Mus musculus: one gene and its partners. The protein of the gene in region 2 interacts with the protein of the main gene of each other region in a pairwise test. Links are inferred from orthologs where the notes say so. Each region holds a gene or a part of one and is shown on either strand. Other genes may lie near its edges. The genes, in order: Vamp5, Ergic3 and Apol8.

What was found.
Region 1: the proteins of Ergic3 (region 2) and Vamp5 interact in binary tests that used the Homo sapiens proteins (3 or more experiments, as listed by UniProt). The link is inferred for Mus musculus from reciprocal best matches to the Homo sapiens genes ERGIC3 and VAMP5.
Region 3: the proteins of Ergic3 (region 2) and Apol8 interact in binary tests that used the Homo sapiens proteins (3 or more experiments, as listed by UniProt). The link is inferred for Mus musculus from reciprocal best matches to the Homo sapiens genes ERGIC3 and APOL2.

What each region holds. Positions count from the first base shown.
Region 1 is NC_000072.6:72,377,531-72,381,647, forward strand, and holds the start of Vamp5 (vesicle-associated membrane protein 5), read right to left. Parts: upstream 2,939-4,117; 5' UTR 2,854-2,938; coding exon 2,851-2,853; intron 2,575-2,850; exon of another isoform or gene 2,367-2,574; intron 2,244-2,366; exon of another isoform or gene 1,751-2,243; intron 1-1,750. UniProt on the Homo sapiens protein: May participate in trafficking events that are associated with myogenesis, such as myoblast fusion and/or GLUT4 trafficking.
Region 2 is NC_000068.7:156,006,786-156,010,902, forward strand, and holds the start of Ergic3 (endoplasmic reticulum-Golgi intermediate compartment protein 3), read left to right. Parts: upstream 1-1,242; 5' UTR 1,243-1,355; coding exon 1,356-1,443; intron 1,444-1,579; coding exon 1,580-1,650; intron 1,651-1,778; coding exon 1,779-1,866; intron 1,867-2,074; coding exon 2,075-2,194; intron 2,195-3,654; coding exon 3,655-3,748; intron 3,749-4,117. UniProt on the Homo sapiens protein: Possible role in transport between endoplasmic reticulum and Golgi. Positively regulates trafficking of the secretory proteins SERPINA1/alpha1-antitrypsin and HP/haptoglobin.
Region 3 is NC_000081.6:77,747,208-77,749,844, forward strand, and holds the end of Apol8 (apolipoprotein L2), read right to left. Parts: coding exon 2,148-2,637; 3' UTR 592-2,147; downstream 1-591.

The DNA of each region.
Region 1 (4,117 bases), on a different chromosome or scaffold from region 2:
AAAAGCTGGGCGTGGTGGCGCACGCCTTTCATCCCAGCACTCGGGAGGCAGAGGCAGGCAGATTTCTGAGTTCGAGGCCAGCCTGGTGTACAAAGTGAGCTCCAGGACAGCCAGGGCTATACAGAGAAACCCTGTTTCGAAAAACCTAAATAAACAAACAAACAAACAAACAAACAAACAAACATGAAACAGACTCCCATTAAATTGTACAGCCTGGCCGGGGACTTGGGGGTCCTCCTGCCTCTGCCCACAAGTGTTGGGACTACAGGCCTTAAGTGTTGATCAATAGTAACAGCTGCTACCTTTCCGTGGTCACAGGAACCTGACCCAGCACTGAGCTAGCTGTGCATGTGGGTATCTGGCTAAACCTTTACAATAACCCACTGAAGATAGTATTATTGTCCTTGTCTAGAGTAAGTAGGTAACCAACCTGAGGGTAGAATGGACAGAGATTCCACATGTCTAATCCCTGTGCTAAACCAGACGCACAGAAAGTGTGAGGTCTGGTGCCCCTGATGACTGGCTAAAGAGTACTAGCCACTGGATGCCAACTCTGCTTGTGTTCAAAGGAGAAAGGCCCGTGACTACAAGCACAAGTTCTGCCAGACAAATGATTCTGAGGATTATTTTAGGCTGAGCATAGGCCTATGAACCTACCTAATCCCAGTACTCAGTAGGCAGAGTTCGAGGCCAATCACGTCTATATAGTATCTAGTCGGACCTTGTCTAAAAAAATTTATTCTATATCTGGACATGGTGTCAAATACTTGTAATCCTAGCACTTGGGAGGCAGAGGCAGGAGCATTGCTGCAACTTCAAGGCCAGCTTTGTTTACTTAGGTCATTTAAGGGCAGGGTATATAGCAAGACTGCCTCAAAAAAATAGTTAACTCCATTCAGGCACTGTGGCTCAGCGACATCGTGAGTTCTGCATCAATCTGATCTACATGAGACCTTGTCCCCCAAAACCAAACAAGCAGGCTAAATAATTTTTAGTTATTTATGGTGGGGCTGGAGAGGTGGCTCAGCATTTAAGAGCACTTGCTGCTTTTCTAGAAGATCTGGGTTCCTAGCACCCACTTGGCGGCTCACGGGTGCCTAAAATTCCAGTACAAGGTGAAATTCCCTCTTCTGGCCTCCACAGGCACTGCACACACATGGTACCCCGCACACATACATGCAGGGGAAAATTCATACACATGAATAAAATCTTTTAAAATGATCTATGGTGCTAGGAAGATGCCTCCATAAATAAATCCCCTGTTGCACAAGTTTGGGGACCAGAGTCTGACTCCCTAGCACCCACATAAAAGCCAGGCAGTCTGCCTGTAATCCTAGGGGCAGGAAGAAGGGGCCGGTCCCAAGGACAAGCTGGCAGCTAGACGAGACAAACTGGTGAGCTCCAGGTTGAACCAGAGATCCCGTCTCCAAAAATAAAGTGGAAAGCTGTTTAATAAGACACCTGACATCAGCCTCTGACTTCCACATGTATCTAAACAGGCATGTGCCCAGACACGTGAACAAGCGTGCATACCACACATGCAAAAAAATATTGCTCATTTCCATCTCTCATTTTCATCTCCTCCATCACTGTTTTGTGCTATTCCAATGGCAAAAAAGAATTTTTTTCTTAAATCATTTTGACTGAATGAGTCCCAGTGAAGAAAAGGGAAAGGAAAGGGAAATCAGTTGGGGGTGGGGGTATATATGGTAGTCAGAGGGATGGGATGCAGGAGGAAAGAGCTGGAGACAGAAAGGGGGACAAGGGAAGAAGAGATAGATGATGGAGCTGGAGACAGGCTGAAGGGATAAAATTAATGCATCCCCCAGACTCTGAACCCCCAAGGTTCTCCTGAACAGCCAGATAACCTAACCTGGCGCAGCCTTCTTTTCAGAACTTCTCCTCAAGAGCTGAGAGCCAGTTGAAAGACCATCTCTGCCCTGTACTCTCGGAAGTGGGCTCTCAGCTCCAGCCCATTCTCAGAGCCTCCCTCGGTTTCCTGGTGTGGCCTCAAAGCTTAGGGCTACCTTCCTGCCACACTTCCCTTTCCTGCCTCCAGTTCCCTAGAGATGAGGCCATCCAGGCATTGCCACCCCTAGCCAGGCCACATCCATCCCATCTTAGAGTACTAAACTTGCTTCCAGTCTGGCCACCTTCCCAGGAGCCCTGGAAGGTGGGATCCAGGCATCAGTGGTCCCTGACACTTTTGTCTTGGAAATGGCAAGTCTGCAGCAGGAGTGAATGTAGGTGACTCAACTCATGATTATGTTACTAGGTAGAGGTTAGGAAAGAGTCAGCAGGCTGGGTCACAGGGATAACTTCATGGAACTTTTATAGTAAACAACTTATTTTCTCTTTTCCCCCAGGGAAGTGTTTATCTGTCAGCACGTCAGCACGGGGCCTCTACCAGGCATCTGCTCAGGTTTCCAACCCTTGGGCCAGCTCTGGCTCCTCTTAGCCTGGGGAAGAGCTGGAGAGGTCATCGCATTACCTACCACTTCTCAGCAAAGGGTTCTGAGTGCCTGGCAGCAGCGACCATAAACATCTTCTTTAACCTCTCAAGGACCCACCAAGGTAAGTATTGCTGCCCCTACTTCACTGCGCGGAAAAGGAGGCTCGTGGAGGTTAAGTAACTTGCCCGGTATTGCCGGGAGCTGATAACTGCTCCAGGAGCGTGGGAAGCTGTAGCACCGCTCACTCTGCCCCGACGGGGCGCACTCCGAAGTCTCCCTCCCCGGTTGCCTGCAAAGTTGGGGACTAGTCCGTGCGACCAGCGTGACCTATGCCCCTGGGGTTCAGAATCCTGCTTTTTGCCCCTGCACAATCGCCCTCTGCCCCTGCCCGTCTCACCATTGCCTCCGCAGCCGCCGCCGCTGCCTGCTCGCCGGCTCCGATTCCTCTGCCCCGAGCGGCCTCAGTGCCCGCGGCCCGGGAGGAAGCCGTGGGGCGGGGCGGGCCCGCAGCCCAAGAGGGAGGGGGGCGCGCCTTCTCAGAGGTGCCCGTCCCGGGCAAACCGAAAGCGGTGACAGGACCCGTGGGGCGCCTCCTACCGGGCCACAGGCGTCCGATTTCCGATGACACCCCAGCCTGGTGAATTGGGGACCGATGTCTCTTGGATCTGGGGCTGCATCAGGAGTTAGCCCAGGAGGCGTCATTCCGTCATGCAAAAAGCATCTGTGGGAGCTATGTGCTGGAGCTGACATGAACAAGCCAGAAGTATTTGCCACCTTGGTGAGTGCGTCTCACCCGAAATTAAAAACACACCAACCACTCCAAAGTTCTGATTATTTACAGACGGAACAGGCAGTATTCTGAATACATTGTATGTCACCGAGTTATACCCTTAAAAATGGTAAGCTAGGGCTGGTGAGATGGCTCAGTGGGTAAGAGCACCCGACTGCTCTTCCGAAGGTCCGGAGTTCAAATCCCAGCAACCACATGGTGGCTCACAACCATCTGTAACAAGATCTGACGCCCTCTTCTGGAGTGTCTGAAGACAGCTACAGTGTACTTACATATAATAAATAAATAAATCTTTTTAAAAAATGGACTCGCGTTGTGGAAAGAACCAACTCCTGCAAGTTGGCCTCTGATCTCCATACATTGGGGGAGGAAGATTTTTAAAATGCTAAAGTGTTGCAGACATTTCTGTGAGCTAAAAGTCTCAATGGTGTGTGGATGGATCTCAAGTTTTGAACCAACAAGAGGCAGAAGAGGCAAAGGAGAAGATGGGAGCCAGCTTCCAAAGTGGTACTCAAGCAGAGACCATCTCTTTTGGATAAGAATAAAATACAAACTACACAGACTGTCTTGAAGAGTTTCACAGCATGAGTTTAGGACAGAGTTGCAAGCTGCTGCAAGGAAAACAAACAGGTGTTGCCCAGCCTGAGAACACACACTTTCTCTTAGATTCCTGGTGTGGGCCTTGCGGGATGGTCCTCTAACAGGTGAGGAAGATGGAGTTCTTGACGAAGAGAGATGCCGAGGAAACTGCGGCTTTTCTTGCAGAACTGGGAACTGAGAAGTCCTTTCCTTAATCTCATTGGCCCGTCCCAGCCTCAGGCCAACTTCAAGGTTAAAATGAGGTTGTTTGTAAAGAACTGTGCAAAAGGTGCAG
Region 2 (4,117 bases):
GCACAGCATGGTTGCTGGCTGCTCTTTCAGGGGACCCTGGTTCAGTTCCCAGCACACATTGGGTGACTCAGAACTGCCCATAAGTCCAGATTTCAGGGATCCAATGCCCCGTACTATCATCTGGTACACATAAACACATGTAGACACACATAAAAATAGTTAATAAATCTTCAAAACAGAAACCTCCCATGAGACGCTAAGAGGCTGAGGCAGGAGTCCAGGTGTTCCTGGTCAGCCAGAGCAGCAGAAAGACACTTTCTTAAAACAAAACTATTGAGCACTTTGTTTTAGTCTTTATAGCGGTATTAAGCTGTCTAGAGCTAATGGGTTACAACAGAAAGCAAATAAGGGTTTGTTTAATCTCCACTCCATAGCCTTGTCCTGGAGGGGTGGAATCAGCGAACGTCTTTATTTTATTTATTGACCCACACTGGGATTAGCACTTGGACGCTGTTTAAGAACCCAGGGTACTCTGAAGTCCAGAACTGGGTTCCACTATTGATCAGTTTAAGCTTGAAAAAAAAAGCAAAGTTAACACCCACTCTCTTTTAAAAATAACTTATAGATTATATTTACTTTTTTGTGAGTGTAGTCAAGGGCACGCCACGGCATTCATATGGAGGTCAGAGGACATTTTGCAAGAATCAGTTTTTTTCCACCATGTGGGTCCTGGGTATAGAACTCAGAATTGGCAGCAAATGCCTTCACCTTGCAAGCCAGTTAATACCCACTTCCCCCTGCAGAGATTCTCATGCCTTAACCGCATTGGAAACACCTTGGAGCCACTTTTGACTTTCTAATGAGGGAACCAATGATTTCCTTGGAACCGATTTCTTTCTTTCTTTTTTCTTTTGTAATTTTTCAAGCCAGGGTTTCTTTGCGTAACATCCCTGGCTGTCTTGGAACTCTCTTTGTAACCCAGGCTGAACTCGAACTCACAGACATCCGCTTGACTCTGTCTTCTGAGTGCTGGGATTAAAGAGTGCGCCCACCCCGGTTTGGAACCAATTCTAATTAACGCTGCGGTGGCTCTGGCGGGGTCAAGTTGGAAGCGCTGTCCTAAGAGATCCAAAGGTCCAAGGAGAGGCACTTACCACAGGTGCTGTCACTCCGCACCCAAGCACCGCCCTCTGTGCTCCCAGCCCGCCCCTCTCGGAGCACTGCCCAATCCGCGCGAGGAGGCGTGACAATGTCCACAAGCTAGACTGCCTTTGAGGAGGCAGGTGAGGGGGTGGAGCCCCACTTACGCACCGCTACGCCTGCGCAAGACAGCGAGGGGCGTGACCCCGGGTCCAGGCCGGAAGCGGGAGGCTGGAGGGGCGGGCCGGCTGGTGTCCCCTTTCCGGCCGGTCCCCATGGAGGCGCTGGGGAAGCTGAAGCAGTTCGATGCCTACCCTAAGACTCTGGAGGACTTCCGGGTCAAGACCTGCGGGGGTGCCACGGGTAGGTCTCGGCGCGGGCAGGGTTGCAAGGAGGGAGCTGTCCTCGCGTTCGGCCCGGGCTCCCGGACCCTCCGTGGCCTGCTAAGGGGCTGAGGGGTGGGATATAGGCCGTTCCAAATCTCGCTCTCGCCCTGCAGTGACCATCGTCAGTGGCCTTCTCATGCTCCTGCTTTTCCTATCGGAGTTGCAGTATTATCTCACTACGGAGGTGAGGGGCGTGGCCTAGAGCGTGGGCGGGGCCTGGCATTCTAAGGGCAGGACCCTTAAAGGTGGGAGAGGGGAGGAGAGGCGAGGAGAGGCATAGGGGCGAATCTGACTGAGGTAGACATGCTCTAGGTGCATCCTGAGCTCTACGTGGACAAGTCTCGGGGGGATAAACTGAAGATCAACATCGATGTTCTTTTCCCGCACATGCCTTGTGCCTGTGAGTACCCGATTGTGAGTGGGGAGTTGGACTCCTGGACGTAGGGTGGGCTTCCAGATTTACACCTCTGGCCTTAGATCCCAGAGTGAATGCCAGGCCATCCTCATTCCCCGAGTCCATTTCTTCCTCAAGATACATCTTTCCCATCAAAGCTCAGCTCTCCGGGTCCCTGGTGTCGTAGCGCCTTAGCTTGCCTCTCTGTTTCCAGACTTGAGCATCGATGCCATGGACGTGGCCGGGGAGCAGCAGCTGGATGTGGAACACAACCTGTTCAAGAAACGACTAGACAAGGATGGCGTCCCCGTGAGCTCAGAGGCTGAACGGCACGGTAACCAGGGGAGGGGGACAGGTCTCCGATCCTACAGCTGGACATGCCTGCCTTCCACACATGGGCCGTTGCAGGCTCAGTGACACCGTAGACAGAAGTCAGCTGGCTTGCTTAGGGTTCTACAACTATTAAAAATCAAGAGTCAGTTGAATCCATGCTTCTGGTATTGGAACATTGAGTAGAATACCTTAGGGGCTGGAGAGAGGGCCCAGTGGTTAAGAGCAAGACACTTTGCTCGGTTATCGTTTCTCAAGCTTGAACATGGGTCTTCCTTAGGTAAAGGAAGTTTGCTTGTCCACCTCATTGGCTAGAGTACTGTCCCCCGTTGCAGTGCGAGTATCCTAAGATTAAGAGCTTAAATTCTCGAGTAGAGTTGCCTGGGTTCGGATCTAGCATTGTCTTGCAGTTTGTGAGCATGATGCAGGGCTGGATGCAATACAGATGGGTCTCAGCTTACAACACTCTGACTTGGAGATGGTTTGAAAGCACGCCTGTACAACCATTCAGGTCTTCACTTTGCGTAGAGGACTCAGTCATTGGAGGTACTCGGTGCTTTGTTAGGAACTAGTCTTCATGTCAGATGGTTTGCCCAGCTGTTGGCTGGGTAAGTATTCTGAGAATGTTTAAGGCAGTATCAGTTAAGCTATAATGTTCTGTGTCTTAGATGTATTAAGTGCATTCTAAAATATGACATTTTACCATGGGAAACCTCATCCTGAGTTGGGGGAATCAGTAATATATAATCAGTACACAACCCATAAGTAATCTTTTTTTAAAGATTTTATTTATTGTTTTTTTGTTTGTTTGTTTGTTTGTTTGTTTGTATTTTCGAGACAGGGTTTTTCTGTGTAGCCCTGGCTGTCCTAGAACTCACTCTGTAGACCAGGCTGTTCTTGAAGGTTTTATTTATTGTTAAGTACACACTGTAGCTGTCTTCAGACACACCAGAAGAGGGCATCAGACCTCATTACAGATGGTTGTGAGCCACCATGTGGTTGCTGGGATTTGAACTCAGGACCTTTGGAAGAGCAGTTGGTGCTCTTAACCACTGAGCCATATCTCCAGCCCATAAGTAATCTTTCTAAAAGACCTGGTATAGAGTGTACACTTTGAGCAGTTTCCCTAAGTTGCTGTCTCTGTTACCCTCAGCCCATCTCACTGTGTAGAACTCACAGATCCTCTTGCCTCTGTCTCGCAAGTGCTAGGGTTAAAGGTATGGGCTACTATCCCAGTCTCAGAGTCTAAGGGGATGGAACAGGGCAACAGGAACTTGCCTGTACCAACTGACTCTTAGTGTTTACTGCTGTTTTCTGATACTGAGTATATGTAATGGCCTTAACACCTGACCATCATGTATGTGGCTGGTTTTCCCCAGCCCAGGGACTTATGTGGGAGGGAGCTGTGGCCGTGGATGTCACTGTGTCTGCTTCATGCTGTGCTTTTGCCCCTGCCCTGCCCAGAGCTTGGGAAAGTCGAGGTGACAGTGTTTGACCCCAACTCCTTGGACCCCAATCGCTGTGAGAGCTGCTACGGCGCTGAGTCAGAAGACATCAAGTGAGCCACGCCACAGGGCATGGGGAGTGAGACCTGAGATGGTAGAGGCATTATATTCCTCACTATTCATCCTGATGCAAGTGATAACAGTTAGCCAGCAGGCCCGCTGGCAACTGCACACCTAGGGGGCCTGCTCTTCAGCCTAGAGAACCAGCTGCCAGGCGTCCAGTCCTTGTCTTCAATCTGAGCCACATTGCTTCTCTATGTAGGGATAATAACACCCTCCTTGCCAAAGTTAAGTGTATGTTATATGTAAAGCCCTGACGTACAGGGCCAAAGCTACATTATTACACCTCCACTATGTGCCAACCACTGTGCGACTTCACAGCCCCAACCCCTGAAAGACTGACTCAACAGGTCTAGAGAGAT
Region 3 (2,637 bases), on a different chromosome or scaffold from region 2:
GGGATGTTTGAGGAAGCATCTCATCTGTCTTTACATAGAAACATATGGCCAACCTTCCTTAGTAACATCAAGCCACAGGGAAGCCACAGCCTGGAGAGAGAGGAGGGGTGGAGCAGCTCTGTCATGACCCCATCATCACAACTCAGAGATCTGCCTGCCTCTGCCTACCAAGTGCTGGGGCTACAGGTATGTGCTTCCATGCCCAACCCTAAGAAACGCTATACTCAATGGAAGAACATGGCTTTGTGGCCACCAGGCCTCTGCCCTCCCCAGCAGCCTGGTGTTTCCAAGATGCTTCAGAACCAGGGGGCAGGGAGAGAGGCCATGCTTATCCACATATGATCCATGCCCCAAGGCTGGATCCTTGCCTTTTAATGACTCTCAACCCTGGAAGTAACCACATGGGACTCTACTGAAATGGCCAGGAGAGGATTCAGCATGGGTAAGCTGGAACAAGCCAGCCTGAGGACAGAGTGCTGCCTTGTGGGACAAGCTGTGCAGGGATCCCTGTGGCCACCATGACAGGAAGAGTAACAATCTACAAGAGGCAAGAAAGGTAATTTGATTCAATACAACTAAGTAGCCAGTGTTGGTTCAAACTGTCGGAGTCTGGCCCCAAGTAGTTTATTTTAGACATATTGAAGCACGCCGCAAGCTGGTGAACACTTTCGTGGTGATAATTAACTCATTCCTGTGTGCACAATAAAGCTTAAGACATGATTACGTCAAACTCTTTCTGTATACGTGACATCTTTCATAACGATGGGTTCTGTAGATAGACAAGTTCACAGTAAGGATCTAGAGGGAAGATCCGGTGTGGTCTTGGACACAAAATAGCACAAAGGTCACCAAACTATTAACCATGTCTGCTCCCAGTCTTCTGGGCAGATAACAGGCTATACATCCCTTCCTTTGAAGGATCAACCCTGTTGCTAACCTTCCTGGGTCCCCTGGTGCTTATCTGTGAGCAGAAGAACCTCTGTGCCTCCTACAAGGCTGTGCTCTGCCCTTGGACTGAGCACACTGCCTCATGGGAAGGGGCTGTGGGTCTAGCAGTTAGGGTGGTTAGGAGGAGGGCGGATGCTCTCCTATCTCACATCCTGAAACGTGCTCTAACGTGTTGTTTTCCTTACCTATGACTTTGGGACCTTCACTCTGGGATGCCCCGTTTTCCTAGACTAATTGGCTCATATTCATTGAGCTAAAGTCTATATAGAACATGAGATGGAAGAGGAAGATAAGCAGAGAGGTGGTCTTGTCCATCATCCCCCCCCATCCCCCCCCAACTCATGAGGAAGCTGTGTCTCTGAGAAGGTATGTCTCTTGACCACAGGCTGGTTGCCCTCAGTACAGCACAAAGTCTCTTGACCTGTCAGTCCAATCTGGGCCACTCCCCATCCCTAAATCAATCTCCACCCCAGCACACCCTAGAGAGTGTCAATGGAATTCCACTGGTCCTCAAAGGCACCCTGGCCCCTTGACAACTGCCGTGCCCACTCTGCTGTCACCTCCACCTGTCACCACCACCACGGTCATCCGAGGAAGTCACAGTGGCTCTTCCACATCCAGGATTCTTCCTCTGGCTTTCTCCCATTCCCAGTGTGTCAGATTCGCTGCTTTTTTCCTTGCTTGCTCAGACACAGCTCTCTTTATTCAAACCTCCAAAGCTCTTTACTCCAAAACTGACTGTTCCCTCCCAGCCCCGCACTCTCTAGTCCCCTCTGGTCTCTTGTTTCGGGCTCCCATTCTTTTCCCTTCACTCCCTTAGCTACCGGCACTGATCTTACAATGCTCAGCTAGAGAAAATGTCGAACGCTGGCTGGAAAGGTGGCTAAGCAGTTAAGAGTACTGGCTGTCCTGCTGAGGATATGAGTTCAATTCCCAGTATCTACATCAAGCAGTTCACAACCTCCTGTAACTCCAGCTCTGGGAGACCTGATGCCCTCTTCTGGCCTTGGAGGGTACCTACACCCACATTCTCAGATACACACACACACATATAAACAAAACCACAACAAAGTGTTTTGAAAAGAACAAATGTCTAAGTCCTGAACTTCATGGGTCTGATTCCCTCTCACAAAAATGCTTCAGTCTCTAGATCCAGAACACCTCCCCGTCTTCTGCACTGCTCTGGGGGAGGAAGCATGTTACCGCCTTGAGCCTGCCTGCAAACCTTCATACATCTGGATGAGCGCCTCCAGTTTCTCCTCCAGCTCCCGAGCCTGCTGCCTCAACTCCTCGGCAGACTTTGCTTTTGTGCCCTTGTGCAAATTCTTGGACTGTTTCACAAGGCTGATCACATCCCCAACGAGGGACACACCTGCGGTGGCTATACCCATGATCCGGGCTCTTCTGCTTATTGCCAGGGCAGTGCCTTTAAAGGCCTTCTTCACGTGCTTACCACTTTGGGCAGAGGTGCTCCCCATGGCACTAGCTGCTAAGGCAGGGTTGGCTTTGGTGAGCTTGATGGCATAGATGCTCTGCTCAATGCACCGTAGGACACGGCAGCAATTCTCAGATAAGGACAAGACCTGGGGTCCTGAATGAACCACAGCGTCTGCAACCATCTTCACTTTGGCCATGCCGGTTGACACCAGGTGGCTGGCTTCCGTTTTGGCTAATGACCTACTTGTGTAG